Linked DNA regions of Oreochromis niloticus. The protein of the gene in region 1 purifies or fractionates together with the protein of each later gene. This does not show direct contact. Links are inferred from orthologs where the notes say so. Each region holds a gene or a part of one and is shown in the gene's direction. Other genes may lie near its edges.

The links. The genes of interacting proteins can lie anywhere in the genome.
Region 2: the proteins of ago4 (region 1) and trinucleotide repeat-containing gene 6A protein purify together in Homo sapiens (co-immunoprecipitation; 4 studies listed by BioGRID and IntAct, with this or other methods). This does not show direct contact. The link is inferred for Oreochromis niloticus from reciprocal best matches to the Homo sapiens genes AGO4 and TNRC6A.
Region 3: the proteins of ago4 (region 1) and tnrc6ba purify together in Homo sapiens (co-immunoprecipitation; 3 studies listed by BioGRID and IntAct, with this or other methods). This does not show direct contact. The link is inferred for Oreochromis niloticus from reciprocal best matches to the Homo sapiens genes AGO4 and TNRC6B.

The regions. Positions count from the first base shown.
Region 1 is NC_031985.2:14,061,758-14,072,965, forward strand, and holds the start of ago4 (protein argonaute-4), read left to right. Parts: upstream 1-5,569; 5' UTR 5,570-5,615; coding exon 5,616-5,838; intron 5,839-6,589; exon of another isoform or gene 6,590-6,772; coding exon of another isoform or gene 6,773-6,791; intron 6,792-11,208. Other genes in the region: clspn (claspin), read right to left, coding at 482-554, 635-691, 957-1,100, 1,900-2,333, 3,259-3,376, 4,121-4,147.
Region 2 is NC_031969.2:12,147,374-12,158,445, reverse strand, and holds the start of trinucleotide repeat-containing gene 6A protein, read left to right. Parts: upstream 1-5,473; 5' UTR 5,474-5,555; intron 5,556-11,072. Other genes in the region: E3 ubiquitin-protein ligase RBBP6, read left to right, coding at 1-1,107.
Region 3 is NC_031973.2:22,677,244-22,688,290, forward strand, and holds the start of tnrc6ba (trinucleotide repeat-containing gene 6B protein), read left to right. Parts: upstream 1-5,448; 5' UTR 5,449-5,586; intron 5,587-6,127; exon of another isoform or gene 6,128-6,195; intron 6,196-7,216; 5' UTR 7,217-7,306; intron 7,307-7,933; 5' UTR 7,934-7,955; intron 7,956-8,315; 5' UTR 8,316-8,607; coding exon 8,608-8,752; intron 8,753-9,359; coding exon 9,360-11,047. Other genes in the region: uncharacterized protein si:ch211-141o9.10, read right to left, coding at 491-551, 669-798, 881-985, 1,137-1,268, 4,396-4,578, 4,685-4,894, 4,974-5,121.

The DNA.
Region 1 (11,208 bases):
TTAAATTACACCTGTCAACATCTATGCAATATTCTCCACAGAGAATATTTACAACATTTTCACTTGTTATTGATTTTAGGGGCTTGAATAAGTGAGAAATTTTCCAACATCAGATGGTGAAATTCATTTCATTTTCTTTAAATGAAACTAGCTGGATACACACCCTTCGAACGAGGTTTTGATTTGGAATATTGGATTGCAAGAGCAGGCTTCATAAATGATCTGGCAACTTGTGAAAGCATAAACTAAAACCTTAAAGATGCATCTACTTCAGTTATTTATAATAAAGTGCAGTGTAAATACACAGGAGAAACAGCAAGATGGGTGGGCACCATGAGAAGATTTTAAAGTACGGGGAAAAAAAAACAAAAAACCAGGAGTGTTTGCAGGTATGGAAAGAATACTAAAATGCCATGCTCTATTCAAATTATTGCCCACAATAAAACTTTATAGGGTAAATAAACGTGTCTTATCAACTGACCTCTGACCAGCCTCTGAGACTCACTGTGGAGCTGCTTCATCGCCTCTTTGCTGGCACGTGCAGCCTTTCTCTCCTGAAAGAGTCACATAGTGGCAATGACAAACTGCTTACAATTTAAAGTAATTATTTATTTATTTTTTTGATGGTGCATACCGCACGCTGGGGCTTCTCTGGCACCTCTTCATCCTCCTCCTCATTTGAGAGGGGATCCTGTAGCAACATAGAAACAAAAGGACACAATGTCCAACATGGTCCAACTCTTCTCACCACAACATTAAACCAAAGTGTTACAATAAAATTGAAGGATTTAAATTTAACTCAAGTCACTGACATAAATACAACAGCTGTTTTAATTTTTCTTAAGGAAATAAGTCAAAGGCCAAACATAAATGTTACCAATTCCAAATGTTTATCTTTTATAGTGATGGAAAATGGGTGGAGAGCCCCTCTTTTAAACTACTTGATGTTTTTCCACCTTATGTTTTTTCATCTTTTGCTTGACCGCAGCACGGATCGCATCCAGAGACTCTTCTTCCTCATCATCCAGACCATTGTCAAAAAGTTCTGTGTCTCCCAGCGGACATCCACTGTCATTCAGGGTCCCAGGATGAGGCATTTCCTGAGGAAATGGGAGTAAAGCTGCTTTTAGTTGCATACACATTATCCAAATTGTATCTTGTTTTTTATGGCTTCAACATTTAGCACAACACACAAGATCTAAATTTAAAAACTTTGTTCAGTTTGATCTGTAGTTTAGTCCTTGTTGTAGTGCTCGGGGAACCAAAACACAAATGCTTCCACAACAGTAGTTTGATCATTACACTGATGTGGTAGGAAGTGTCTTTTTTTTTCTTTCTTCCTAACAACAAAGTTCTTCCAGAAGCAGATCTGTTTACTTGACCTTGCAGTTGGACATGCACTGAAAAGCATCATCTGACTGGGACATTTAAAAAAACAAAACAAAAACAAAGGTTTCCAATTTTGAGATAAAATAATGTTTGAAAAACTAATTTTGACAACACATTTAACACAATTATTTGAGGATTTGTGAGTGAGCCATCTTTGTCTTTTTTCTGGTCACACTGACTTAAATAAAGTAATAGAAAGGCCACAAGATTACATTTAAAAAAGAAAATCTACTTAAATAGTATATAAGCTTTTAACATGTAACATACTTGACATAAAATCTTCCTTCACCTACGTGAAGCGTAGTGCACTTTGCTGACAATCATTCACTTTGTGCTTCAAAAACATAATTCTAACTTTTATTGATTTTATTATTTTTTATAATATGTAACAGGCCAGGCTGAGACAGTCCACAGGACGTATTAGTGCCCATGTGTGTTTTAAAAAAAGATGTTATGAGAAGAACCCTTGATGTATCCAGCCAAAAAGAGTTCAGACACTAAAGCACTCACCTCATCCCTTTCAGAGAACCTCTCCTTCTTCTTCAGCTTTTCCACCGCTTTGCAGCGCTTTTCCTTTTTCTCACGATGTCTCTTGCTCTTCTCTCTTTCCTTCACTTCTTTTGCAGATTTCACTTGCCTCTTCACCACTTTCCCCTCTTCCTCCTCCATTTTTCCACTCTTCTCCTCCTCAGGCTCACTGTCCTCGCTATCAACAGGAGCTCGGCTTATTCTCTTGCATTTCTGCCGTCCCTTTTCCTTCTTCTTGTCCTTCTCGTCTACCTTTTCAGTCTCCATTTCCTCTCCGCTGGAAGCAGATAAAACTAGTGCTTCTGCCATGTGTACACTGCTATCTGCAGCTGCCGCCTCTTCCTCGCTGTCACTGTCTCTAATGGCATTACGGTGAGGCTTTCTGTGCACCATGATGTCTTCATCGTCATCAGAATCTGATAAATAAGACAGAAAAACCAACCAATTTAGAAAGTTAGAATGAAGTAGAGTAGAATGGAAATGGTAGAGTGGTAATCCCAGCTCATATCAATGTGTAATGAAACAAAATACTAGAGTTTGCACTAAACAGTGAGAAAAATAAATTCAAGTAGAATTTTATTCTAATGCATATATTTGTTTTACCAATAAATAAATAAATTAAACACATTAAGCAAACTTAATGTGGTTTGGACATGTGAAGTGGGATACTGGACATATTGGTCAAAAAATAAAAAAGGGAGAAAATGGAGCTTCCAGGCAGGAGAAAAAGCAGAAGTCAAAGAGGACATATGTCCTCAGGGAGTGGTTTGGAGGCAAAATGATGGAGTTTTTACTACATAAACAGTTTAATTCGTTTTCAAGTTACCTTTAGAAATCGACAACTTGAATCTTAGAAAAGTTTTTTTGCTCTATGTCACAGCCCTGATGAAATTTCTTTGGTAGAAGGGAAAAAAACATCTTCAGTGAGCACCAAGAGTTCTTATATGCAGGACAATATATGCAGAAAACCTTGATATAAACCCTTCTGAAGAAACCTCAGACAAAACAAATATAAGTCCAGGGAGACTGAAATACTTCATTATTAAAGTATTTATACTATTTCCTACAGAATTTCCCTTGGACTGATATGTTACTCTTTGCCTTTATTGTTTTTCAAACAAATGTGGTCCTTTGGAAACTGGACATCTTTTAGATACTGGTTTGCTTTTCATTTATAACCTTTGAATGTATATTTTCTCAAGAACTGCAGCTTTGAATCTTTGGTCAGACTGGCTCGTTATGGTAACTAGTGTTTCTCTGCCTACTCTGGTGTCACAGGCAGTTGCATAAATGCATACCTCATTTACACAGCCAGAGTGGCTCATTGTTATGCTGCTTTACCTGGACGACCTTCTCTTTTGTTAGAGGTGTCTGTAGCCATCTCCTCTGCTGGTGAGCCCACACCGCTGTCTGAATCACTCTCTGTTGCAGTCTGGGCCACAACTGGAAGTCCCTCACCCTGCATACAGTAGCACATAATACACATGAATTGTTGCTGCATGGGGCGAGTAAAAGGTACTTAGTGGAAAAAAACTTGAGGTTAAGTATCAACTGAAAAACAGTTCATCTGGGGCAGGGGTAGAAGTTCAGTTTAGGTTACTTGATTGAGATTCATGTTGTGTGAGACTGCTTTTGTTAAATCTAGTAACACTAGGAATTCATTTCGAATGGAAGGCAACCCAAATTGCTGCATAGCTCATTAAAACAAAGTACCACAGTATAGCATGTTTCTGCATTTGACAAAAACACAGAGGAGAGGGTGTTAACACAGAGGATGGGTGTCACTTTTGTCACTTTGGGCAGCGAAACTGTTGTTCGTTGACAGGACTGGCGCCTTGAAGTAAACCAAACAATGAGCAGCATGTCTGCCTTTCAACGTTTCTAATTATCACCATTCAGGCAACAGATAAGGCTGTCCGTGAGTCCCCTAGGTCTTACTTTAATAAAAGGATTTAAAATTAAAATGTCAAATTGACACGCTTTAAAAGGCCCAAGCCAGTTACCACTTTCCAAAAGAGCTGAGCTAAACCTAACCTAGCCAGGAAGCTAGGTGGCTAACAAAATGTGCAGTTAGCATATTTCTTTCGATCTTGCCAATCTCCACCAAAAAAACCTACCCGATGAAACAGAGTGATATATGCAAGTCTAGAAAAGTTAGGCAGAGGTTCAAGATAATCACTGACAAACCAAAGCATTGCCTGACCTGTTGTTGAGAAAGCACCAAGCTCATCTTTGTCCGCTGGCTAGTTTACGTTCTTTTTTTGCAAAATAAACCGGCTCAGACGGCACCTCGTAGTCTCGTGTCACCCACAAAAAACGTGGACAAGTTACCGTCAAAGCGACCAGCGCTGCTTCTGTGTTTTAATTGACATTTAGTTAGCGTTTAGCCGGAAAAGTTATCTTCCTCCCGCCTGTTCCATACACACCGAATAGAAATTTTGATGTTTCGCGCGCCGCGACAGCTGGCCCGCAGTTTTTCGCCACCGGAACGTCAATCGCAGTGTTCTCGATTTCCTATTGGTCTGTTTGGCGCAGATGTCCCGCCTAATTTAACTACGCTGCATTGCAAAAGCGTTTGTTTAAACCCCGGGACCTCTCCGGCGAGTGGGGATTGTTGCTGGAGAAGAAACAGAAAGGAAAAAAATTCCAAATATCATAACAACTTTAACACTTATTGACATGCTAATTAATCATAAAGCACAGTTATTGGAAATGCACCGTTTTACAGCTATTCTATTGTCCCGTTGCAAGGAAAATGGCATTGCATAATGGAGTGATATCCTTTATTCAATCATTTATCGCTTATTTGTTCTTTACAGAACTTCTACCCTGACATTTCAAAACCATTACATTTCTCCACATTTCTGTCCATCTACACAGATTTTTCTGTGCAATTCTACTTACAAACCCAGTATTCCTCAATCAAGTCTTAAAGCCAGCGCTTTGTTGATACTAATTAATCCAATTAATGATGCAAATTACATATCTATGAGTTGTCTGTTTCTCAAAATTAATAGCATAACCCTGACTTCTCTTAATTAGTATTTTTTCCAGGTTTGTGCTGCTTAATACAGTTTTGTCAGTGGTGTCTATCACACGGTTAAATGAAACATTCGGATTTTTAGCAGTGTCCCACGGTTTCATTTGTTAGACCGAACAATAACTGTGACGAGTTTCTTCTCTAACCCCGAAACTGACCCCCCCCCACTCACATCCCCACCCAAAGGCTGATACTCCAGGTTAATCAACAAGCGACATTGATTTTTTAATCAGTTTTTTCAGCTCTACTATATAGCTAAACAGATAATTCGTAATCATCAATCAGCAACTGACACTAACACAATGTTCCACTCCAAATGTACTTACCAGTAAGTGAATTTATGTCAACATCTTGCACTCTGAACCATTGCACACAGAGCAAGAACCAAACTGGAGTCCTACTCCTTGAATGCACATACTTGGCCATTAGGTTTTTATTTCCAATTTACATCATTTTTAACAGCATTTTATCATTATAATATTGTTTCAGTTTTATTGAAACCAAGTTTTTTAGAACTTTCAGATGTGACTATTTAAGCCAACTGCGCATGCGTGTCCAGGTGAAAAAAGGTATATATGAAGCAGGGGTGCAGGGCGCAGGGGTTTTTTTTTCAGTGTGGAGGTATCCTACTGGAGGAGGTGGAGTAGCAACAATAGTAATGACTAAGGGCAAGGAGCTGGTACCACGTAGCGAGAATCGTGTGGGGCTGTTATTGAGCGTATCAACTAATTACAGCGTCATGGCAGCAGAAACCATGAACTGGGAGTTGTTGCAGAAAAAATACGGTTATATTTTAAGGCGGTTCCTGGAGCGTTATGTGCTACCAAAGCAAGGCAACGGAAAAGGGAGGAGGTATGAAGACCGGTTTGGATTTAGAAGAGGTACGTATGCTCAGATTTTATATCTTGCCTTGAGTTTCTCTTTATCTTTATTTTGTGACCATGTTTCTACAAGTCCCAACTAAATCTTCAAAGGAAAAACATTCAAATTGAAATCTTAAACTAGAACAGTAACATGTTTGGGGGTCTTAACCCCCCCTCAAAAAAGTAGGTAGGTAAAAGATTTCTTATTATATAATCCAAGTAAATTACAAAAACACAAACGGACGAAAAGCTACTGCCTTTTATTCTGCTTTATTCAGGTAAAATAAAACAGGGCATGTGTGGCTTGCTTGGAAAGTATCACTTCAAAAAGCTTCTCAGTTTGAAAAAACAAAACAAAAAAACTTATACAAGATTTGTTTTAAATGGTTTGATGTATCACAGCACAATTAATTAAGCATTAAGAAACTTTGATATTTGTTATTTGGTGTAACAAATATTTGGTATATACTGTGGTTACAGACAGAAATGGACTTTTAAAATCCCACACTGGAGACGTTCACGCGTCGAATGAATGAGAAAATGAATTGGAGATATAATAGAAAAATGAATGAATACAAGGGTAATTTGTACAGTGTAAAAAATGTTATTATACTTATTGAGGCTATATTGTTTAGCCTGTATTTAATTTTCAATCACAAACAAAGAAATTTAGAGTATAACCAGCAAAAGCAACTGCTTGCATCTCCGCGGTATCCTACGGTGGATTTTCGCCACTTGTAACCGACGCATGCGCATATCCAAATCCTCAGAACGAGCAGCAGCGGCAGCGGTAGCTCAGTTCAGGTCAGCCCAGTCAGCAGTCGTCCACGCGTCTATCTATACTCCCGTTTCTTAAATTTAGCCACTTTCAAGCTTCGAGATACCGCCCCCAATTTCAGCGTCGGTACGGAGCCGCCAGGCCGGGACAGAGACGGAGAGAGAGGCCTCGGCCATGGAAGCGCTCGGACCCGGTAAGGATTTTTAAGAAAGCGAGAGCGGAGCGAGGAGCTGGGAGCGCGAGCCGTGTGTGGGGCGCGTGTGCGCAAATGCGTCGCTTCACTGGGGGCCGCGGCTGCAGCGAGGCCTCGCTGTGACGGGAAAACAAGCCGAGGCCCAAGCCCGTGTTTGTGTACGTACTCGTAGTACGTTATTTACATCGAACCAGGGGGGCTCTTTTTCCTGTTAGTACCGGAGGGGGTTGTTTTTATCCAGTCTCCCGCCGTGTCCGAGGGTTATATTTATGTCAGGCACGCTCTACTCGTCGTGTCGGGGCTGGCATTGTGTGAGTGGGGATTTAACTGGGACCTTCCTTCCTCCTTCCTTCCGCGTCGTGCTGTGTTTACGTTGTTTGGTTCTCGCTGTGTTTATTCGGCGTTTCACGCGTTTACGACCCGATTTCTTCAAGGGGACCGCGCGTTTGCGTCGAAATACGGCGGGATATAACGTGTTTTTGCCAAATCCCCCTCTCAGTTAAATCATATAAATCTGCCTGCACCATCGCCATCAGGAGCAGGCAAGCTCGTCTCTTACACCCCCCTCCCCGCCCGTCCAAGATGACAGCGATGGGTTGGGAAGACAAAATGAATGCCAACAAAACACATGTTTACTCGGCAGATGTGGTGATTTTGTGTTTTTTTTAATGTGAGGTGGTCATTGGTTTGCGCGCCTCTCCTTGGGCAGCAGCCATGCGCCCGTGAGAGCACAGCAGGGATGGATGGCGCTCTTATCGATCAGATCTGCAGGCCAGCTCCATTATAGTCTCCTATATGATAACAAAGGCACGTATTTTGATGCAATAAAGGCATGCAGTGGGAAGTCAAATCATGCACCTGTGCGGTCAGCAGTCCAATATGCAGTGTTATTGTCACAAAGCTGCAAAATATGTTTAGGTCATATTTTTTCCCCCCCACTGGAGACATTGTGTTCTTTTTTTTGTGTGTGTGTGGGAAACGCGCCTTTTCATAAACGAAGCATCTTGCAACAGAAAAAACCAGTCTTCATGCAACAGCATTGACATGGTTTATTATTATTTATTTATTTTTTTGACTTTCTAAATGACCAAACATTTCCCCCGCAAGCAACAGAAGAAAGGTGGTGGCATTAGGAAGCACTAGATGTGTTATTTAAGCAGGAAATGTGCTCCTGCAGAAATTGTTAAATGGATGCAAGAAGCTGTGAGGGTCCAGGATTATTGGGGACAATACAGCCTGTCTATCCTACAGGGGTGTGTTTGGATCATTGTTGCACATAATGAAATGAAATGAAATAATGAGTAATCAGCGTTTTTTATTATACATTAGTGATTGCTTATTGTACCTGCTGTCTGTACCTTGCTACAGCAAGTGTTTAGGTTGTGGAGTGTGAATTGAGATTTTCTATCAAAGCCTTTGTTTACACATTCATAGATGCAGACGTAACAATGAGATTTTTGTGATAAATATAAATATGATCTGTGAACACTGCTCTAGAATTTCTCTTTTTGGGATGTTTGTAAAGCTTTGTTGCCCTTTTCAAAGGCAATGCTGAATCTTATTAATATTGAATTATTAATGATAATATTAATATAATGCGAACTGGTCATGGTGCAGGTGTGAATAGTGAATGCATAATGGTGATTATGTTGAAGTAACTGTAAATCTGAATGGATTAGAAATAAGTTAGACTCTTGGCAGTTCTATTTAGTTGTGTTTGAGCTATGTCACCTTAAGATACTTAACATTATAAGGTAAAGACAACATAATATTGGAGAGAGCACCCAAATAACCTAATACTTTGGCATAATTGCTGTCTTTTTCAAAATTTCTATACACGCTTAATATCATTCTTTTCTTTATGACCAAAATAAACACAAAGCTTTAATATTGTGATGGCCTTAATTGCAGTTTTTAAGTCTTCTAAATTAGTTACAGTAATGACTTGTAGCCCATTCTGTGTGTCTGCTGTCTCCTGTTTAGTCGTGCTTCAGCAATACTCTTGTACAGTGGTGGGGATTTCTTCAAACACAGGAAAGATGTAAAGCAGACGGTCAACTGTCTGTTCTTAGAGGTGTGAAATGCAGCAGTGAGTGGCCTATTCAGTGACAGAATTCAGAATTGGGTTGTTGTTGTCTCGAAATTGTGGTGGAGTCACACAGCATGATGAATATGCAGAGATGAGTGAAAAGACAAAAGCCTGGAGGACACTGAGTGAAACTGGGAAGAAGTGTAGTAATTTTGAAGTATAAGATGGGCTGTGCTCCCATTTGGAAAATGCATTAATTCATAATGGTAAACATGGTCAGCAAGACATCCTGTGTTGCATTTAAAATCATCTAAATCAGCTCGTCTTATAGCTTCTGCACATCTCTACACTGATGTGTGGATATTTCTACATTGTGAATGGTCACTAAGCTTTTCTTAATGTATCTCCTCTTTCTCCTGTCCGGCGTAGTACCTTAATCCGGGTGATTTTCAGGTGTGGGCGTCAGTGTACTCCCTGTTCGGTGCTCTTAGTCTCTGACTCATCGCTGGGCCAAGCCATCATCCTCGTGCTTAGCTTTAAGCCCAGCTGTCTATGCTCCACTGTGGTTACCAGGGACACGCATAGCATTAGTAGGCTCTACAGTGCATTAGTAGGAAACCCTACTCAGAAAGTGTGAGTACACTGCACACGATCTAATGGTTTGTCTAAATTAGATCAGTGAAGAGTGGGGGGTGGGGTGTTATAGTAAGATAGGCAGGCGGAAATCTTTGTACCATGTTTATGGTCAGTTTGGATTTAAGCTTCGAAAAGGCTCATAAGGAAAAGGAAGGCTTGTTTTTCTGTAGAGCATCTGTCATTTTCTGTGTAAGGGGGGAAAAAGTTAATTTCACTTCCTCTGTGACTCAAAGTAGATGCAGCTCTGTCTCATTTGGAGCAGAAGCACAAATTATGGAGGAAGCTCGCTGTAAATGTGAGAGCTGCTGTTTATATGATATTCAGCAGTGTTTAAGTACTTCATTGATGTTCTGGTTGAAAAAATGAATTAAAAGACCTGTGCAGGTTGTCACTGCTGTCTTGTGTTAGTGCAGCTGACAGGTTTGCTAAAATATGTAGGCTCTGTATTAAATATTGATATTTTTTACTGAAACTGTGCCTCGTAGCTCCACAGTGTAGTGGTTTACATATTTGCCAGACAAGAGAGAGATCCCCTAGTTTGATCCTAGGAGGAAAGACGGATCCCTTTGGGGTTGTATCAGGAAGGGCGTCTGGTGTAAAAACTGCCAAATCAAACATTTGGAGCTGCCCACTGTGGCGACCCCTTGTGAATAAAGGAGCAGTTGAAAGTGCCGTAACTGAGAATGAGCTTGTGACATTCACAAAAAACAAGACCATGTTTACTCAGAAGTTCTTTAAATTGAAACGTCTTATCCACACGTGTGGCTTAAGTTTTGTTTAATGTTCAGTGGCCTGGAGTGTCATCCAATACAAACTTACTAATTTATGTTTAATTTTAAAAGTAGATCTTTATTTTTGGTTGCCTGTGGCAGCAAAGTCAACAGTTACTCAGATTTGCTATAAGTCGTTAGTTATTGGATTACAAGTACTTGGAAAAGAGCTGAGCTTTAGACAGTTGGTCAGACAAAACTATCAGTTTTTATCTCGTGCTGGGTGCTTTTCATATTTGACAATTTAAAGTTCATGTTGGGTCAAGTGGGGGGGGGGGCTAAATAGGGTTAGTGGAGAGAAGAGCGGTTGTGGAGGAAGGATGACTTCAAGCATTTCACATCGAGACACATTTCTAAGCGTAGTAATGTAGCAGCTGAGGAGGCTAAATATAGACACAGCTCTGTTTTTGGTGGAAGAGGAAGCCCTCAAAGTTGCTGTGCATCATGTCAATACTGAAAACACTTTCTGCTACTTTTACACCGTGGGCTGAAAACAAAAAAAATCTGTGTGCAAAGGTATCTGTGCGTATGCACAAAGGTAGGCAGAATAGAAGTTATGTTTTTGTAGTTGATTGCAGGTCATCTGTTAGCCGTATAGACACAAAGAGGGATTGTTATAAGAGTGGATTATTCATGCAGATGGCTGAATGCAGGATTTTTGTCCATGCTAAGCCTGCACTAAAATAATTTGGCAAATGGGCCCATTTATCCATTGCTATGTTTGTTATAATGTATCATTATTACTTGTTGCATTATAGGAATTATTGTACATGCCTTACAATGTCTTTGGGTTGGCTGTAGCTTAGGTGTTAGAGCAGGTCATCTACTAATTGGAAGGTTGTTGGTTCGATCCCTCCAGTCTGCATGCCAAATGTCCTTAGGCAAAATACTAACCCAAGTTGCTCTCCAATGCGTCCATCGGAGAGTGAATGTGTGTGCATGTTAGATAGAAAGCGTTTATATAGAGCATAGAAAAAAGTCC
Region 2 (11,072 bases), on another chromosome or scaffold:
CAGCGGGGAGAGAGGCGCAGGGAGAAAGCGAGAGATTCTCCTTGCTCCTGGTCACACAGAAGTGTGGCTCCCTCTAGTGGCAAAGACAGAGCTGTAAGCACCACATCTGCAAATGCAGGCAAGGAGACGAGGAGAGAGATGGACAGGCAGAGGAACAGAGAGAGGGAGAGGCAACAAGAGAGGAAAAGGTCAAAAGAACAAACAAGAGAGGAAGGAAGCGGGAGAGACGGGGACAAAGAGCGAAAACGCACTGCCTATCTCCCCACCTCCTCTCAGTTTTACTCCTTCTCAACATCACACGATGCAGATAGGACAGATCTGCAATACGGGGGCAGCCAGGGTAGCAACAAGAGTTCATCCTGTCCCAGCGGGAAATTCACCAGTGCCAGAAACAGGGAAAGCAGCACGATAAGCAGAGAACCCGTCCTGCCTGATGAAGATGCACAGAAAACACACAGAGAGCCATCACTGAATCTCAGATACAAAGATAAAGACTACAGCCACTACCACAGTAACCACCAAGATTCATCAGGGAGTGATCGAAATAAAGACAGAGCTCCAGGGACACACCACTCCCACAGCCGGGGTAAAGGCAGAGACCTGCTCCCCTTTGAATCTCCTGGATACTCTCAAAGAGAATCCCCTCATTTGGGGTTAATGCAGAGCAAAGCTGGAAAAGAAGAGTGGAAACCAAACAAGGCTGAGAAATTAGTCAAAGAAGGCATAGAGGGGAGAGAAAATCGAGGCATGATGGCTGTGCAGGGTGGAGGTGCCTGGTGGGAGCATGAGGCTGATTATAAAGTGGATGGAGAAGAAGGCTGGTTCGGGGGAGGGAGGGATCTGGAGGAAGGGGAGATGCTCAGCAGCCGAAGCAGCAGCGTCGGCTCGTCAGCGAGCCAGGGGAACAGCAAAGACGACAAGAGGACAGAGAAGGAGAGGAAACAAAAAAGGCAGAAAAAAGAGAAAAGGCAGGCGACCCTGGAGCAGCCGCAGGACAGAGAGCTGAAGAAACACACACACAAGAAGTCCAAGAACAGCAGAGAGGGCGCAGAAGAGGAGAGCGGAGGAGAGGGGGCCGACAGGTGGAAACGAAAGGAAAACCACTGATCCCCACTCGGATGTGTCACCTCGACTCTAAAAATAAAGTTAAATTTACTTGAATGATGTTTTTTCTCTGACCAACAGGTGCCTGGATTTTGTTTTTTGTTGTTACTTTTGTTTAATTTTTGCTCCAGGATACGTTTTGTATCACGTTAAGATCTTCATAATTCATTTATAGCATTCGCAATCCTCGTATAAAATTGTGAAGAAACGGCACTTTATACAAAATTCAAAAAAAAGAAATGAATGTGACTGAAATCACAGGGCGAAGCTTAACGCTCTTGAATTATTTTGACTTGAAGGATTTTTGCACTTGTTTACAACTTGCTCAGGACTGCCAGCAGTTACGATTCACATGAATCTGCTATGGATGGAAATCTTACATTTTGAATAGTCAGTCGATAATTTGCCTTGCCTCGCACAGGGGTGCGTTTGGATTACTGAGAAAAAGATTGTAATCATTTAAAATGCACAGCCTTCTGTGAATATTTAGGATTTAACCTCTGTGTTGTATTTTGTTTATTTATTAATTTTTTTTATGTTTAATCTAAAAACTACTGGATAGATGAATGATTTAGTAGAGGCAAGTTTAGTTTTTCCTGTTTTGAGGGAAATAAATAATAATTTAAAAAAATCTAAAATCTTGTGTTTCTGTCTGGATGTCTGCTGATTCTACAAGTGAGGACAAGTGGTAACTGCAGGTTTAATATACAGTACATCTACTTCACTGCACTTTGGATTTGACTTTCTGTTGCATCTTTACCTTAAAGTCTGATTATTTTTGCAGATAAATTCTATTACAATAGATCCAGCTACCACCAATATATAATAAACAGCAGCTATTTATGTACTGTTCTGAAAATCCTGCAGGCCAATTCCTCAATTTTATAATCCTGCTTAAATAGCTGAATAGCACAAGGGTTGTATACTCGATGTAAAATATATTTAAAGTAGATACAGTAAACATTATGTGGGATGTCACTTTTCAGAGTTATGCATTGACATCCTGATTTGGCTGAACCCTGAATGCACTTCCTGAAACAACCCAAAGGAATTTTGTCTCTTTCAGGGATTGAGATTTCAATTTGAGTTTTTGTGTTTTATTCAGTCTAATTTTATTCAGAATGAATTTTCATAATTCAGTTTACTCTTGATCATTTGAATTTTTTTTTAGTTTTATTAGTTTCAGTGTTTGCTTTAGTTTTTGTTTTGTTTTTTAGAATAATATTACATGAAGAGCATATGTGAGAGACAAGATTTGGGAAAATGAGCACAATCGTTAGAATAAAAACTTTTTGAAAATAGTTTAGTCTTGTAACAATCCAAAATCTCAGCACATCCATCAAAGCCTCATCATGCAGGTTGTAATAACGTTTACCAAACAAATACTAAAACTAACATTTCCTCTGTATTTTTTTTTTATTTCAGATTGTTTTCCAAGTTAATAAAACAATTTCAGTTAGTTTTAATATTTTTGAAAAGTCTAGTTTCTATTTTTATTTTAGTTATCTAAAGAGTTTTTTTTTCGTTTCAGACTTTAGTTTATATTCACTAAACTACAATAGTCTTGGTGTAAAACACTACACTATCAAGCTAGAGCAAAATAAATAAATGAAGCTATGAAAAAAATACAGAGTACAAAGTACAATATTTGCGTCTAAAACATAGTGGAGCAGAAGGACAAAATAGAAGATCATGATCCTGAAAAATAATGCTTAATGTTTTTACAGACCTATACGGTGATGGTGCTGTGCAATATTTAACGTTTTGGCATTGATCGTATACCAATTAAATATAAGGCCGATATTGCTGATGCCAATATTGTTATTGTTTCTTTTAACCCATAAAGGCAGCTTATGAAGGGAAGAGCAGTGTGTCATGATTTATGAGATGATGAATAATCATCACTTCTGAACACATTTTAATGACCATGAAATGATTATGATTTATACTTTCCACAAGAATAAATAAGACAATACTATTAATAATACAACAAAACACACTTTTCAGCTTTTCGTGTATTTTGAAAATAGATTTGTCGGAGACCTGGAGTGTAATTGTGCACTTTGGGTCAATTTCTGTTGTTTAAATGTGCATAGGCTATAAAAAAAAATAAAACAGACATGCCAATCAACACAATTCAGTACATACTGCGCTTCTGTATCTATATTTGAATTGATCTACCAACCTTTATATTTAAGTGGTGTTTATCAGACAAGACTTAGGCTAATTTAAATATTTGTATAGCGTATCTTATTTTAATTTGTTTATTTGTTTAACTATCTGCATTGTATCCCCAGTTCTCTAATATGCTCTGTCCTAACTAGTTAACGTTTCCACCCTGCGGCCTTGGCTGCTAACACAACAGGCTAAGCTGTTACTATCACTGTGAGCACGCTAGCATGCTAAAATAGCCAAACTGATATTACTCGTCCTTACTTTAAAATATTCTGAATAAAGTTTTCTCTTCTATCACAGTCAAACGTGTCTATTTAATATATTATTATTATTATTCCTTTTATTACTTCTGGCGGGCTGAGTATGTTGAGTATCCATTATTTCAGCCGCTAAAGGCGGTCAGGTGACTAAAGGCTGGAGCACGGGGCAGGTAGGCTGATTTATGGTTTAAATCCTCCGCTTAAACAGTCCCTGTGAATTAACTGAGTGAATCTGTCAAAGTAAAGAATCTGTACAAAGCTTTGGTGGTCTGTTATTTTTGCTTGGAGTTTGTTTAGCTGTTTAAAAGTGAGTCACATTGGAGTCTTAAGAACAGCTGTATGTAGGCAGCCATATTTCTCTTTAATTATCTGCCAGTACAGGAGACTCTGTTTTCTTCCTTTTTTAGTTAAGAGTTTGAGGGGAAGTTGGTCTGTCCTTGTTTTGTCATATCAGTCAGTGTAGCACTACCACTGTCAGATCCAGGGCTTAGACTGTTGCAAAACTAGAAACTAGTGGAGCATGGTGGCTCTTTTCAATGCAAATTAAATTTAAAGGCTCATATTTCTGCAACTCCTTAAGTTGTAGGAGTACTAAGGTGACTTGTTTGTTTTCTCTAGCTCAGGGGTGGAAAACATTGTTTTAGTTCTTGGGCCACATACAACCTATTTTGTACAAGTAATAATGTTTAAAGGGGCTCGTAACAACTTCTGCAAAATAAAAAAACCCAATCCTGTCTCCTATTACCTTAAAAATTTGCCAGACAAATAAAATCATTATTTCTTGTTCAGTGATCGAGTAAGAAAACAGGTGATGGATATATTTCAAGAGCACTTTCAAGTACATTTTGAATCAACTTTTTTTTTTAAATCTAAATTAATTGACCATCAAACCACATTTGAAAGGTACAAACATTTCACATGTAGATCTTTTGTAACTAAACATCTGGTATTTCATGTCTTTATGATTCAAACAACTAGTCTCAGTTAGAAATGCTCGGACATTTCCCCTCCTGTAGAAATGTTTCACACATTACAATGGGTCACATGGGTCGGGTTAGACAAATTGGTGGGCATGTTATGGCTCCCAGGCTGCATATTTGACACCCCTGAGCTGCAGGTTGGCCAATGTGCATTTAGGTCAGAAAGATTTGTGCTAATTGCTGACGGTTGTGTGGAGCATTATCTGCAGCACTTATGCAGAAAATGAAAAGTTATGAGCAAGTTATTAAAACGCAGGGAAAAAATAATTGCCCTGCTGGTCTCCGTCCAGGACGGTCTTCTCAAGAGCGACTCCTCCTGGTTAAGTAAAGCTTTTGAGTAACATGTTTTCCAGATGTCTTTCTCTTTGGTGTGCAACCTGGCACCTCCGTCCGAATGTTCTAGTGCTTGTAACGTTATCTGAAAATCAAATAGTTGCTCTGCACTTGAGCAGTACTGTGCAAAATTCTTGAGCCACCTCTTATTTCCTTATATTTAGTTTCTAAGGAGCTAGACTTTCTTATTTTTTAAGTGCAGTCTTGAGCAATAGTTCTCCAGCTTTCTGAAAGTTTTGCTTTGGACAATGGCTCATTTTTCACTCATTTATTTAACATAAATTCCTGAAGATTACTTAAAAAAATTAGAAGAAGGTTGACTAAGAGAGCTCAGGCTGTGTTGAAGAATAAAGGTGGTCGTACCAAACTCTGCTTTTTTTTTTCTTATATACTATATTTAAATGTGATTTTTGCATGTTTCAATAAATCACTAAACCTACTGTTCATTTGAAGGGTGACTCAGGACTTCAGTTCTGAAAACATTTATCAAGGCTGTCACGATGAATGATCATTTGCTATTAAACCTGAAATGTGGACATTATCTCTGGAATAGGACACTGTAACACCACCTCTGAGCTCTTTGTCTTTGCACCGTTGCATGTTGCCGTCTCTCCGCTCCAGTTCAAAGCAGCCAACATCTCAGCCAGCTGACCAGAGACTCGCTTCTCCTCCACTCATCTGTCTACTTTGCCTACATTACCAGGTAGAGATGCTCACACTGAACACAATAAATACATTTTTTCCCCCAACTTTACTTCCTGCAACCCTTAAAAAAGCACTTGAATCAAAGCAGGAGCCAAACACAGTTTCACGGAGAACAAAGACGTGCTAACGAAGTCGCTGTTTGGACAGGTTGGTGGTTGTCCGCCATGTTGGGTTTTCTTGTTAGAACAAATATGAAAGACATGCTCAATATGCCTGATGTCTATGCTGGCGTGGGCTGTTGTGCTCACCGTATGTGCGTGTGTGTGTGTGTGTGTTGATGGTTGAAGTCTATCCAAGCATTTCTTGCTTCATTAGCTCACTACAAGGAAAGACATGGCAGAGATCCAGGCTCTCTGTCTTTCTTTCCATCTCTTCTGTTTTACCGCTGTGAGAGTAATCACCCAGTGTTGTGCCAAGGCATGCTGGGATTGAACAGTGGAGATGGTGTGGGTGTGGGTAGGGGGTGCCCGACTTGGCTTGAGTCCAAGCCTCTGATGGAGGGATGCAAGGACACCCGAGGACAGTCGATAATCTGAAATACTTTCATAACAGAAGACGTCCTCTTCTGTTGGCTTGTTGTGTGCTGCTGCATGACCTCCAAGATGGCTGCTGTCATGTGTGCAACATCTGTGTTTGCATTTATTAACCCTCAAACTTCAGTGGATCTTTTTAACCGCTAAATATAAAGATGCAAAGATGGGGGTGTAAGACTGCATCTGTGCATGAAGAAAGCAGACGCACTGACATATGCACAGAGAGACACATCAGACAGTGAGAAAGACAAAAACAGAGCAGCATGGTGAGAGAGACAAAAAGACAGACGCACAAGTATTCACACAGATGCAGCAAAAAAGTGGGTGGCAGACTAAGATGTAAGGAAAAAAGGAAAGTGACCGGCGCATAAAGGCTCATAAAAAATGAGACATGAGACAGACAGAGAGGTGCTGATGCCAGGCAGACACACAGACAACGCTCCAGGCAGGCAGAAGGACAGCCAGACAGACAGACAGGTGGACCCTGTAGCAATCAAGAGCAACATCCTGCTCCTCCTCTCCCAGCGTGGCGTGGATCAGAGCCGAGGTACGCGCCTTTTTTTTTTTTCAAATTTATTTCTCAGCAGTCTTGAGTTCTCCGTCGTCCCGCCGTCTGCTGCGCTTCTTTTCTTTTTGTTTTGGCTGTTTTTCTTTGTTTCTTTCTGTCTTTCGTCTGCGCTTCCTGCCCTCCTTTGTGCCCGTGAGGAGTGCCGACGTCTCAGGGCGCCGTGCCAGCACTGCCGGATGAAGACCAGGCTGTGCCTACCCGTGTGTGTGTGTGTTGGTGTATGCAGATTGGCTTGTTTTGGTTCAGCGGCAGCTGTAAACACTTGTTTGTGGCGTTACACGCATGTGCCTATTGAGCAGAGGACCCGCTGCCAGCCTACACTTTCACGTAATTAAGCCCGAGTCTTTACTAATCAACAGAGCAGAGAAATGCAAATAAATAGTTTTTAGAAACAAAGCGAAGCAAAGATGAAGCAAAAAAGTGAAACATTCACTCTTTGCAGTCAGCGTGAAAGGAAAGCAGTGATGTTATAATTCTCGTAATACTTCATTACGTCTGCAGTGTGAGGATTTTCCTGGTATTTGCTGTTTTAAATGAATTGCCAAGCAAAATGTTCAGGGTCTTTGTTGAGTTTTATTTTAGTTTTAATATTGTTTTAAGGCTCTGAATGTATCCCTGCTATATTGTGCTCATTTGCAACTCCATAACTTCCATCTTAGATCCTTTACATGTGGGAAACCAAGCTGTTATAGCCACCCTACCTTTAAAACAGACTTTGGATAAGTCTTCATCTTTGCAGAGTGATTTCGCAGAATCCAAAAAACTAACAGTGTGTAGACCCACAGCGATGACACTGTGCAGGAAGAATGCTTATTGGTTGAAGTGTCAGCTTAAGCAGGAAAGGGAACGTCAGCGGAGTTCAGCAGAAAGAGGAAGACGCACCAAAAAATAATCAAAGATGTAAAAAAATTGTTTGTTTACGCATCACTGCAACTTTGAATGTATAACTTCTGTGTTCTCTGCAGCAGAGGCTGAACCAAGGGGTCAACAACAGCACAAACACGAGCAGAAGCAGCTTACAACATCATAAGAAACATAAAACACCTCCTTTCAGTACAACTTGTGGCCCGATAACATAACATTTATTTAACATAATATTTGAATTAAACATCATTACTGCAGCACTCAGACAATTAGTCAAACATACAGACAAAACTGACTCCTTTGCTTCATGCTGTGTGCCTTTGTGGATCATATTATAGATATAACCTCCAAGTAGAAAAGACCTGTGGAAACAGGGATTCCTCATTATTTGAAACACGTGCCATGTTTAATTTGAACATAGTCACTGAACTCGTCTATATGTGACTGAAAATGAGGTAAATGGTCAGTTTTAACTTTAAAAAAAGTGACTTTCATTTAATAAATACATGGCATGTATCTGAAATGGTACACAGATTATAAATATTTTGTGCACAGTAGTAAAACAACAAGGACATCATGTTGACCTACAGATGGGGTTTTTTAAGGCGTGAGGAAGCAAGTTTCCTATCTTTCAAGGTTGGATGGGGCAAACACGGAGTAAGAGTGTGGGATATTCCTGATACAGGCAAGCTGCTCATACAAAGAAGTGTTTTTTTACCTCTCAGCTGTAAATGGGTGATGGGCTATTGTTGTCACCCTGTAGCAGCTTCGAATTGAAACCTTAGGTGTGTCTACTAGAAGGCTGAGGCGTACCACTGGTGGCTACAAGTAATTTCTTATATTTACAGTCATTCAACTTTGTTAGGTTAATTGGTTAATTGATGACTAAATTGTCTGTAGGTGTGAATGCGAGCCTTCTCTCTGTATTAGCCCTGCAATAGACTGGGAGCCTGCCAAGGGTGTACCCTGCCTTTCGCCCTGTGGCCCCTCCCCAAACACCCAATGCATAAACGTATAGGTTTTATAAACTTAAATGCCGAAAGTATTTGTTCATCCATCCAAATCATTGAATTCAGGTGTTCAAATCACTTCCATGGCCACAGGTGTATAAACCCATGCACCTAGGCATGCAGACTGCTTCTGCAAACATCAGTGAATGAATGGGTCGCTCTCAGGAGCTCTATAACAAAGTGGAAGGGATTTTAAGTGGTAGTGTCCTGGACTGAGTCTTTTGACCCAGCATTTTGAGTTTCATGCCTTTTTGTATTATGATGTTCTTGTGTTGTTTGTATAGTTTAGGCTTCAGTGAGTTCTGCTGATATTGAGTTCTGTTTCCTTATTTAGTTCTTGTCTGTCTAGGTTCCTCCCATGTCTGTGTCTTCCCCATTATGTGGGTTAGGGTGTCGTGTCTTCAGTGCACGAGTCTGTCAAGTCTCCCTCGCCCTTTCTGTGTCTCAGTGATGTCTTTGTCTCCCTTTGTCTCCCATCGTGTCCCTTTTGTTCTCGCTCCCTCTCTTTCGTGTTTCCTCGCTCCCCGTCTCATCTTCTCCTTAACTATCACCATGTCAAGTCTGTGTGTCTTAGTCCTCGAGCTTCCTGTTTTATTTTGACAATCTTGTGCTCCATGTTCATTGTGTTTTGTTTTGCTTCCCTGTGGCGTCATCTTGATTTGTATCAGCTATTTCCCTGTGTGTTTACACTTCCCCTGATCACCTCCTGTCTGTATATAGTCTGTGAGTTTTCATTTATTCTTTGTCAGGTTGTCTGTTGAGTTCATGTTATGTTTCCATGCCTCCATGTTTCCAGGTTTTTCATGTTCAGGTTTTATCATGTTCAAGGTTTTATGTTATTTGTCTCATGTGTTTAGCATTTAGTTTCTCCCAGTTTAGTTCTAGTTAGTTTTGCCTTAGTGTGCCTTTTGTTTTGTGCATTTTCCCCAGCCAAAAATAAACGGTTCGCCTTTTGTTAAATTATATTTTTGCTCCAAGTGTCTCCTCCTCTTTCCACACGGTCTGCCAGCGCAGACTGTGACAGGTAGGCCATGTAGCGAGGTCATCGGATGCTTGGCACTATGTGCCTCGGCTGAGGCATAGTGCCCTCACACTTCATGTGACTTTCAGATTAGCTCAAGAAAAGTGTGTAGAGAGCTTCATGGAATGGGTTTCCATGGTTGAGCAGCTGCACCCAAGCCTTACATCATCAAGGGCAATGCAAAGCATTGGATACTTTGCATTGGATGATGTAAAGCATGCTGCCACTGGACTGTAGAGCAGTGGAGACGTGTTCTCTGAATTGAAGAATCGCACTTCTCCATCTGGCAATATGATGGACGAGTCAGGGTTTGCCCAGAGAACGGTACTCCACCAAGTGTAAGGTTTGGTGGAGGGACGATTACGGTGTGGGGTTATTATTCAGGAGTTGGGTTTTGCTGCTTAGTTTCAGTGAAATGAACTCCCAATGCTTCAGCATACCAAGACATTTTAGACAATTTCATGGTCCCAACTTTGTGTAAACAGTTTGGGGATGGTCCCTTCCTGTTCCAACATGACTGCACACCAGTGCACAAAGTCCAGTCCACAAAGACATGAATGAGCAAGTTTGGTGTGGAAGAACTTGACTGGCCTGCACAGAGTCCTGACCTCAACCCAACAGAACACCTTTGGGATGAATTAGACTGGAGACTGTGACCCGGGGTTTCTCATCCAACATCAGTGTCTGACCTCACAAATGTGCTTCTGGAAGAAGGTCAAAAATTCCCATAAACACTCATAAACCTTGTGGAACTTATATCTGCATCCGCTGGGCGACATAATAAACTCTATAGATTAAGAATGTGATGTCACTCAAGGTCATATGTTTGTAAAGGCTGACGAGTGGATATTTTTGACAATATAGTGCAGGATCTAATCTGAAAAGTCTGGCAGAGATAAATATGTATGTTGTTTATTTCATCAATCACATAGTCTGTTAGTCCCTTCCAGAGTAAAGGAAAACAACAAAACCCAAGCATTATGGTACTGTGTTTAAAGTAGCAGAAAGTCTCAAGCTGCTCTAAGCTACTGTGCGTGATCACGTAATCAAGAAAAAAGCACATCATTCATAAGCGGTTTGCTGTTAAGTGAACTTTGTACGAGAAAGAAAAGAATAAGTGGAGCATTGTGGGGGAAACACCGATGATATCTGGGGGTGAGAGGTCGGTGAGCTGCTCCAAAAAACTGTCAACAATTCTGTGCCTTTGCACAAGGACTCAGGCACATTATCACACAAACACATACACACAGACAGTGAGTGGGCCCTTTGACTCCTTACAGTTTGCCGCTGATCAACTGGCCTCTAGAAGATAGGAGCACAGAGGGTTTCATTCAACTATTACAGGACTTTTCTGTCGGTGAAATTGTGCTTTTTCCAGTCGCTGGCATCATGTTTGATGGCCTCTAGTGGAGAGTTGCAGCTTAAAAAAAACCAAACAAAACAGAAAGAAACTATCAGTCGGATGACCCTCTTGTCCTTCACGTGGATTTATGTTGTGTAGATGGTTAAAGGTTAAGTA
Region 3 (11,047 bases), on another chromosome or scaffold:
TGCAAAAATGTTTATTTACCTTTGGATCAATAATTTATGTTTTCTCCATTTAATTGAGTTTGTTGCACTTATCAGCAATTTTTTAAATTCTTTTTGCTTAAAGATAAAAAAAACAATACAAATGTGCAAACCATTTCCTCACACTTATTCTACCTGCATCCTTTGAAACCAAAGTCTCATTAGGTTTGGTTTACATTTGTGTGTTTCTGCTGCCCCCTAAAGGCTCATTCGGAACAAGACTCCTCCCCACGCCATATAAAAACTTCCAAAATCACCTTTATTAAACTCGTATTCAAAGATGAGGTTTGTAATTTGGAGAAACTGTTCATGTGGTGAACGACTAATAATATGACCGTGTTTAGAGATATCACAATAGGTCACTCCTCCACTTTGGTACTAGACAAAAAACAAAAACAACACTTCTCTTCACGGCTAACAGTGTGTTTGCAGAGTTCAGTTTATCAGTGCCGACTCATCAGTAGTGCTTTTCTCACTTTTTCTCACACAGGGAATAGAGAAGGTCAATCTGCTCAGTGTATTCAAATCCAGGCCTGTGGGGAAGAACATAGCAGCCATGTTAAAGAGGAACCTGAAAACAGGATGAGCTAGCAGCTCCTGTTTTGGAAATTAATAAATACATTACCATATACAACAGACAACCATCTCACCGTCCGGGTGTCTCCAGGATCAGAGGGATGTTGTCCAGTCTGGGCTCATTGACAATTTCTCGAAATGCAGAGATTCCAATGTGACCTTTGCCGATATCTTCATGCCGATCCAGGTTACAGCCAAGTTTACCTTCAGGTTACACAGAAAGAATAAGGAAAGACAACTAGAGACTTGCATGTGTGATTTTTCTGTCTCTATGCCCTGGCTATACCTTTGGAGTCATTAAGATGAATGGCCTTGAGGTATTGGAGCCCCACTTCTTGGTCAAACTCATCCAGCATGGCCTTCACACCTCCCTCTGCAGCGAGGTCGTATCCTCCCAAGATGAGACATAAAACAACAATTGAGCACAGAAAGAAACTCCCTCAGGTCTTATGCCAGGTTGAATATTTTAAGGTATCACAGCCCTGTTGGACAGAAAGCAAATTTGAGGTTAACGCCACAGGCTGCTATCAGGTTTCACTCACCTGCTGCAAATGCATGGCAGGTATCCAGACAGACTCCTACCCTGGTCTGGTCTCTCACTCTGTCTATGATGCTCTTTAGCTCACAAAACTTGCCGCCCACCGTACTGCCTTGGCCACTCATGTTCTCCAACACTGACCACGCAGAAAGCCCAGAGAGAGAGACAGAAAGAAAAAAAAAAAAAAAAAAAGGAGGAAAAAAAAAAGGAGGAAAAAAAAAAAGGCTTTTAATTTGACACACTCATACATTTGTAATATTTCTCTGTCGTTACCTCTTCAAACAGAGTCTGAACGTGGCTTTTGCTGTTGTATTCTGCTGTAGCGTATATCCCAGGTGTCAGCAAGTAAAGGCCGAGGTACACTCTTGGTTGTGTCCATCACAACGTGCTACCTACGCTCACATCTAAACCTATCAAACGTACAACAGCTAACATAACAATCATACCTTTGTACTGTGGGAGAAACCTGGAGAGTCACTCAGCAGGGTCGAACCCCAGACTTTCTTGATGGGAAGTGACAGTGCTAACCACTGAAAGTTGCACTGGTATTTGTATCAACAAACTTTTGTTAACATTAAAATGTCAGGCAAAGATCAAATGGCTTTTTATTTAACAGACGTGCCATGCAAACATCATTTCTCTTGATAGGCATCAAAATCCAGTCAACAGGAACTTCATTAGATTTGAGTGTTCAATTGATTGATTAATTAGATAGTTACGTTACCAATCACATGGCAGCAACTCAATGCATTTGAGCACATTGTCATGGCCAAGACCGCCTGTTGAAATTCAAACTGAGCATCGGAAAGGGGGAATAAAAAAAAAAACAAAACAAAAAAAAAGTGATTTAAGTGACCTGGAATGTGGCATGGTTGGTGGGAGCCAGATGATTATTTTAGAAACTGCTGATTTTCTGGGATTTTCCCGCTTCTATGGTTTACAGATAGTTTCTCTTTTTTGGACTGCTATCAATTGGGCGTCAATTCCTTGTTGATGCCAGAGGTCAGAGGAAAATGGTAAGACTGCTCTGAGATGATAGAAATGCAAAGGTAATTTAAATAACCACTTGTTTCAACCAAGATATGCAGAAGAGCATCTCTGGCTACAGCAGCAGAAGACCAGAATGGGTCCCACTCCTCTGAGCTAAGAATAGTAAATTGAGGCTACGGTTAACATCAGCTCACCAAAAGTGGACAACAGAAGAGTGGAGAAACATTGGTTGGTCTGATGAGTTTGGATGGTAAGGTCTGGATTTTTCCATTGGTGGTACTGTACTCAAATGGCATTCATAGTCACCAGATCTCAATCCAATAGAGCACCTTTGGGATGTGGTAAAACAAGAGATTCCCATGTGACTCTGACAAATCTGCAGCAACTGTGTGATGCTATCATGTCAATATAGACCATAACGTTTCCAGCACCTTGATGAAACTGTGCTACAAAAACTTAAGGGCAGTTTTAAAGGCAAAAGTGGGTCCATCCCCATAATAGCATGGATTTCCTAATAAAGGTTTTACTGAGCGTATATAATAACTACATGTAAAGGGATTTAGTCCAGTAATAGAAAGCTTAACAACATGAACTTATATTTTGTGTAGGGATTCTTGTGTTAGAAAAACCCTGACCTGACTACTACCTCTACTCTACAAGCGCCACCACAAACAGTCCTCTGGGTGATCACGTTTTTTAGGCTTTGCTGGTGTGGAATGTGCTGCCTCCACTCTAAAGGTTTGCAGATTCAGTAGATTCCTTTTAAAAAGTCTGCTAAAGGCATATCTGTTTAGTCAAGCCTTTCGGCAATATGTATGCACCAGAGACCAGATGTATAAATGGAGTGTACACAAAAACTTGCATGTGCCTTTCCCTGCCCACCCACACAGGTTTGATGGAGCACTTTTTGTGTATTAAGGCATAAATCACTGAGTTTTTGACAACTGGTTCTTTGCTACATTGTTTATCTCCCTTTTGTACTTTGGCTTAGAAACTCATTTTTTAGAAACGGGGAGGATAGGACATTTAGTAAGATTGACATGCACTGCCAATTGGTTTACAGTATGCCAGAGCAGCTACTGACCTTTAAGGTAATGATTTATAGTCCTCTGCTGGACAGCACAGGATTTAGAACCAAATACAATAAAGAAGTGCTTTATCACATATGGTTTATAAAAGATGGATACAGTCAGCATGGCGTCATTAATTAGTAAAGTCTTGTTATGAAACCTCTGGCTGAGCTTTTCTGCTGTTGGATTCTTTCTGTTTTGAAAACCAGATGAGCAAGTTTATATGGTAGTTACTTGCCAATCACAAAACAGGCCCACACTAAGGTCTACCCCATTTTGTGCTCCATCCATCCATCCATCCATCCATTCGCTTCCGCTTATCCTTTATTATTTCTGTCCCTGTGTGTTAGCCCTGCGACAGACTGGCGACCTGTCCAGGGCGTACCCCGCCTCTCGCCCTATGACAGCTGGGATAGGCTCCAGCGCCCCCCATTTTGTGCTCCTTTATATGCATTTTCTATAATATGAGTTTCATGCTGTATTTAAATAAGACTTCAGCTATAAACTCATTGGTAAAGTGTCTGCTGAGGTCAGAGATCAGAGTCAGAGAGTCATTCTTCCACAGACTTTTGCCACGTTCCAGATAACTGCGTACTCGGATATCGGATCTCTGGAGTGTGTCAATCCCAAGTTAGCATGTTCTGGAAAAAGCCGTGAAAAACAGGATTTGTTTTGGTTCTTAGCCAGGTGGAGCCATTCGAGTATCACTGACAATAATGGCTAATACTTACTTTTCTTTAGCCTGATCAGTGCTCTGCATATGGCTCATTTAACGAGTCAAAAATACACAACAGTGGCAGTACAGATTAAACGTTTATAGTTTTATTGCTTTCATGTTCAGTGCCACCATCTTGGATTGCTAACTCGGGGCATGTTGGTCTGCTCCAATTTTCCAAGTGGGAAATCAGAGCTGAAGGGGCATTTCACAAAAAATTTGCAACTGGGAACTTGGAATTTTCAGTTGTCTTATTCATAAAACCACAATTTCTGCAACCAGAGTTGCTGCCCCCTGTTGGTTATTATAAAGAATGCACTGGCTTCACTTTTCAGACTGGGAACCTATGTCCATCGTTTACATAGAGTCTGTGAGTTTTATTAATACCTCTGGCAATGTCTCTGCATATGGGTTTCATCAAAAAGGCAATGACTGGAAGGTAGCTACACACTGCTGGTTGTTTCAGGTACTCTGGCGGCCCTCCGTACCTGTAACCACTGATGGGGTTTCCTGGTGAGCATAATTGATGGCGCTCGCAATCTTGTCCACACACTGCTCAGTGGTGATGGTACCCAGGGAGGAGCCGGGGTGGAAGTTATAGAGGCTGAGACCCAGCAGGTTGCAGCGGCTGAGCTCGTCCACCAGCAGGGCCTGGCTCTTTTCAAACACATCTAGTTGAAAATATGGTACGCAAGTTAGACCAAAACAGAGAATAATTCTGAAAAGAATAATAAGCGATAACTGGGCATGAAAGACAATAATCAGTGTCTGACGGACCCTCTTTAGGAGATCCACAGTTCATCAGGTAGGAGCCATGAGGCAAGATATGAGCTGGGTCAAACCCCTGTTGGGAACACAGCTCCTGAAACTTTGCTGCAGCTGTATGGTCCAATGCAGGCCTCTTCCACGATCGCTGGGACCCCAGGAACAGGGCGAAACTGCTGCCACCCATCTCCATACAGGACTCCACGGCTTTCCATATCCCACCTATGGACGTGACGTCACAGAAGTGTGAGTAAGCGTGCTTATCTCAAATGGTGTCAAAGAAGACGACATTAGGCCCTACCTTGAATGCCAACATGAGCTCCAATGTACTTCTTTGTTGCGCGGTTCTTCCTCCTGTCTCCTCTTTCCTCAGTGTCCTCGCCCTCCTTTTCTCCTGCGGAGGCATCCTCGTTTTTCCTTTTCCTCGTTCCCCTTTTTCTCTGACTCATGCTACGAAGAGAAAGTTGAAAGCAGCCCTTACGAAATAAGCAATAAGTTGAATGTTAAGTTTGACTGTCAGAAGTTTATGGAGGTCAAATAGCGTGTTTTATGCATCTCTTCAGGCAGAAGCCAGCCAGTCAGAGGGCTTCCACGCAGCTGCTACAGGCTGGTCATTGGAGACGCTTCATGCTGAGCAGCAAAATGGCCGCCCGTCACCCGACTGACTCCACAGCGCTTTGAATTTAAATTCTTCTGCACATTAGGGTTTACACTATTATAACGGTAGTGCTCACGAACCAGTACGTTATTACGCGTATATTTTCATTTTCTGCCATTTTACTTGATTCTCCGCTCAGGCGTCGCTGTTCTTGTAGCCTCGACGAATGCCTCAAAAAGCTAGAAAAAAATTCGCACTGAAGCACTTTAGCTAAGCTAGCTAGCACGCTAGCGTATCTTCATATGTGATTCCCGAGGTAAGTGGGTGAATTTTTTACATTTCTCGGCTTTGCACTGTGTCGTTGTTTGAATGCATGCGAGCGGGCTGCATCTTACTGAAATGCCATGCCACGGCGCTTGCAAACCAAGCTAGCGCCATTAACCTGGCTACTTGTAGTTGCTGCTGTCACTGGGTAATGCTACCTTAGCTTATCTGGCTAATGTTCGGTAGCATTAGCGCCGTTTTAGCCGTATTTTTGGCACTGCGTTAGCTGAGCTGGGTATTTGGCCCTCTTATGTGTTTGCTGTGCAAGACCGCTGTGTTCACTTGATAGAGCAGTTACTGAACTTAGGTTGGTTTGAACTCGTTAATGCCTGCTATGCTTCGTGTCCACGTATTTTAGGCTGAACCCCTCCTTAACGTTAGCCTCGACGAAATATTTTATTAGCAGCAGCTGTTGAACTTGCAGCTTGTGTAAACCTGAAGGGGCAAGGATGAATGTGTCTGACTATTTCAGCTAAAGCGGATTTATTCACCCGTGTCTTCAGTTTTTGAACACGCCTTTCCATTTAAGCTCAAAGCTCAGACCTTTTTGTGCTGTGGCGTTTGCTGCCTAATGCTGGTGAGCTTGGAATAACGTTGACAGGTATGTCAGCATAAGCTGGTAGAGCTGCTGGATAGGGTTTACTATACTGCAGATCTGACACATCGAAATAACATCGTGATGATGTCTGGCTTTCTGATACTTCAGGCCTGAGATCATAAATGCCTCAGGGACAATGTCAGGTCGCTTTTCCCAAATGTAGTAATCCTGCTTTATGGAAGTGTTAACGACACGAAGCAAAAACGAAACCAACACAAGACCGAGGCAGCCGAAGCATACCAGATTGCTTGGGTTTTGCTTTAAACGAGGAGAAAAGGAGAAAACTGACGACTTGTGTTTTAATGTGCTAACATGAAGCCAGACATGCTAATATTGCGGTTATTGCCATATTGTAATACATACATGATTTACATTTTGCGCATTCGCGGGCGCTTCCCTGGTTCCGCTCTAATAGAAATGAATGACATTTCTATCACCCTATTAAATAAACAGTATAAACCGTTCGTTTCGTTAAAAAATTGTAGAATAGCTCAGCTGTTCCATCTTCAAACTGAAAAATCTAATAATAAAATGTTTAGTTTGTCCCCGACATCCTAGGGATCATAGAGGTGCTATGGGGAATCCTAATGACAATGCATTCTTTGCTGTAGCTGAAATCTCTTAATTCATTTTATTTTATTTTTTAGTTATTTATTTTTTACTTAAAGCCAGTAAAGAGTATGATCCTGGATTTGTAACTGCCAGCACTCTGTCTGAAAAACAAATCTAGATTTCAGACTTTCAGTTTATCTGGTATGGGTTTCTGGATATGTAGGTCCAGTCAATCAAGCTAAACTGATTGGACCTACAGAACCTAAAGGTCAGTTTATCCAGTTGTCCAGTGGAAGTGTAGTGACAGAGATTGTGTCTGATATGCAATCAGAATTAAATGTTTTCCTTTTTTCCCTTGAGGAATAAATTTGGTTTACAGGAAAAAGCTAGAATATATAGAAACAAACTGTTGCTTGTTCTAAAATAGTTGATAGGTAATTACAATTTTGAATAGCCCGCTATTTTTTTACAGAAGAGAGGAGCATCAGGACAGGAGCAGTAGTTCATGGAAGACAAGAAAAGGAAAAAGGACGAAAAAAGGAAAAGGGAAGCCTCTCAGAAGGTGAGTGTGTTTGTCTTACCAGATTCCATGTCCTCTAGGGCAGATATACTCAAATTAAAATGAACGTTTGTATCTTGACACAGTATGCTGGCAGTAAAATTTATGCACATTCACTCATATCATTTAAAATGGCAGTTCTGCATGGATATCTGTATGGTTCTATTAAAGTGACTTCAGTGCTTTCTCTTATCTCAGGTGGACACATTTGAACTGTCATATTAAGGCAGTGGTTTCAACAACATTCAACAACAGCATTTAGTTTGGATTGAGTTTGGAATGATCTTACATTATGCCATTTCAGCTTTTTCAGTATATATACAATCTAACTTTGTTTGACGAGATACCTGATTCATGGTCTTGGGTAATTTGGGCTTCCTGGAGCTATAGTTGCAGTTAACACTGCAGCTGTTGAACTTGTTACAATTAAATCTCTTGTCCTTAGGTCCCTAGATGTTACATTAATTTTGTGTCAACTAAATGTTGACAGATTATGTGAAAAGTGAAAGACTTTCATAATATTAAAAAAACACCAGTTTCCTTTCTTTGCCTGGAAGAAAGGAAAAAGGAAGAAAGCCAAAAACAAAAAAACTAAATTTTAACATGACTTTCTGCTTCTCTTCATTTTAGGTTGCAGAGCAAAAAAACAAAGGTAAGCAGCACAGTGATGTATTTTTATGGAGTTTGATATAAATATTTGTTGTTTGCTCCTTTTTCCAGAGCTAATCTTTAGACACTTTAGTTTTAAATGTTTTTCTTGTCTAAAAGGATTGTGATGGTATCACAGTGACATTATTATTTCTCTTTGTAATGTGTTGGACAACACTTGATGCATTTTTTTTAATTTTTAAAAAAGAGCACATCCATCGATTTCTTTGTTTTATAGTCCAGTTTGCTATCCATTTCTGCCAAATACTTGATTAGAGGTTACATTTGAAGTAAATACATTTTGCGTTCTTAAAATGCACCTGTTTAAACAAATCTTTCTCTCCCCTCCCTACCCTTCTTGCAGTGCCAGACTTGACCAAGCCAGCTTCTGCCCAGTCTTCTGCTACTCAGAGCAGCTCTGCCTCCCCAGCCCTGGACCCACCCCCTCTGCCTCCCCATCCCCAGCCACCTCAGGCCCTGGCAGTGCTGCCACCCCGTCACAGGGCGGCAACAATGCCAAGCGCCTGGCAGTGGCCAACGGACAGCCCACCTCCACCACCAGTTCTTCCTCCACCGCTGGTGGCTCCAGTGTTGCTGGAAACAGCAGTGCAAGTAGCGGAGGCGGAACTCAGGCGCCTCAGCAGCCACCGCGCTACATGCCGAGAGAAGTGCCGCCACGATTCCGCTGCCAGCAGGACCATAAAGTGCTACTGAAGAGGGGTCAGCCGCCACTGTCCTCCATGCTGCTGGGAGGGGGGGTGGGAGGAGATGGCCCCAATGCAAACATGGCTGCTGTTTCAGGTAAGTGTTAACGATGCTGTTGTTCATAAGTATTAAAGTGGGTTTATCAACTAATCACAGGGTGGTGTTTTGGTGTCTGGAGTCTCCTGTCTACTTGCTAAAGAGTCCTTTGAAAAGGAGTTACTCATGATGGCAGGCAAGCATTGAAGACCTGCAACCTGTGATGTGTTTGTGAAATAGAGGCTATTGTCACACATTAATTCTGGGAAATGTCAGGAAAATCAAGTTAATGGATAATCTAGATGGTTTTCTCACATGGCAGAAAACAGGAGATGGCTGATTAAACCAATATTGTTTATATTATTAGTCAAGGGTGCTACCTTGGCCATGTGTGAACAGAGCAGAGAAGATGTCTGCTTCCTCACTGTGAATTCTCAGAATAGTTTCCTGTCTGATGTGACTGACTCAAACATTTGGAGCAAATGTAAACATTTGAAGCTCCACCTGGTGTGTCTCTGCATGTGTGGAAACAGCTGTTGTAAAGCACTGTCTGATCCGCAAACGTTAAAAAGCTCTATCAAAGCACAGGTCATTTACTGCATTATTTAATATTTTTTTGACTGATGAAGAGTCTAAAGTTGCTCTTTTGTGGGATTTGCTTTTATAGATTCCGGCACAGCTGCCTCCTCATTGGCTCTCACCTCATCATCAGTTGCTGCTTCTACTACTACTTCTAATTATGCAAATTCCATGTGGGGGGCAAGCTCAGGCAGCCAGGCCTCCTCTCAGGGCAGGGAGAAGGTGATTGTTGATGGCAATGACCTAGAGGAGTGGCCTAGTATTGCTGGCAGTGATGGAGGGAGCAGCGGCAACAACGGAATGCCTGTGAATAGCATTAGTGCCTCTGGCAACCAATCCTCACCCACTTCCTCGTTCTCTTTGCCCAATGAATGTATGCAGTCGTCCAGCAGTTCAGCGTGGGTGACGGCTGCCTCCCAGGGTCATCTTGGAGGAGGTATTGCAGTAACTGCAGCTGGGCCTCTGCTACAACAGTCCTCCTCACTTTCCAAAGCCCCCGCTGTGCCAGGGAGCCATGATGCCAGTGGCTCCGTTGATGGCAGCAGTGGGATTCCAGGTGCCAACTTCAATCCAAATGCCAACCCTTCAGCCTGGCCTGCACTGGTGCAGCAGGATGGCCCCGCTGCTGTAGGTGAAGGAGGTCAGTCTTCCTTTCACCATCAGGGCCCTGGCGGGTCTGCCAACAACTCTGCTTCCCTGGGGGCAGCTGGTGTCCTGGGGGGTCACCCATCTTTATCTGTGAATCAATCAAACACCCATCAGCACCAACTTCACCAAATGCAATCCAGAGACAGAGAAATGGGTGGAGGGAATTGGGACAGTAAATCAGCGGGACCAAAAATTGCGGGGGGAGAAGGGATAGGGGGAGGAATGGACCATGGTGCGGGAGGAAGTGGGATGAGTGAAGAGCACAGCCTTGTCTCCTCATGGAGAGGCCAGCCTTCTTACCCTGCAGCTAACTCCAAAACGGGTGCCTCAAGGACTGATGGTTGGGAGAGTGGAGGAACTTGCACAGGGGTATTTGGAGCTGCAGAAGGGGATAATGGGACTTCAGGTTGGGGTTATCAAAGTTCCACAAGTGGGGTTAATGTTTGGGGTAGTGCTGGAAATGGGGGCAACATGAGTCAAACCTCTGGGGTATCTCAGGGAGGGTGGGGGTTATCGGGAGATGGTGGTGAAAGAGGGATTTCTGGTAGTGAGTGGGGTGGGAACTCTGGTGGGGTTGGTGGACCGAATCCAGGAGGTGAGGGAATGAGTGGAGCCTGCAGCAGTAACAGCAGCAGCAGTGGAGGCAGCACAGCGGGGAACCCGCCCACTGCTTCCTCCTCTTCCTCAACAGCCACTACTACTACCAGAGCCTGGGACAATCAGAAAGGAGAGGGTGAAACGGGAGAATGGGGTGAGGTTGTAGGAGGACAGGGAGGACGGGGTGGATCGTCGTCCAGTGGTGGAAATTCTAGAAGTGGGGGCACGCCTAATAGCAGCCGACCACGTCGGCAGGCAGTTAATGCAGAAGCTGCCTTACAGAGCCTGCTAAATCGCTCTGATCTGGATCCTCGGGTCCTGTCTAACACAGGATGGGGCCAGACACAGATCCGCCAAAACACAGAATGGAACATTGATGAACATGCAGGACAGAGTAAAGGTGGATCCTCATCAGCTACATCAAAACATCCACCTTCTCTCAGTGGTCCTCAATATTCTAGTGGACCTAGGACCTTAAGCACTGATTCTGTGGCTCCAGGGGTCAGCCCTTCCCTGGTTCCATCCACTGGG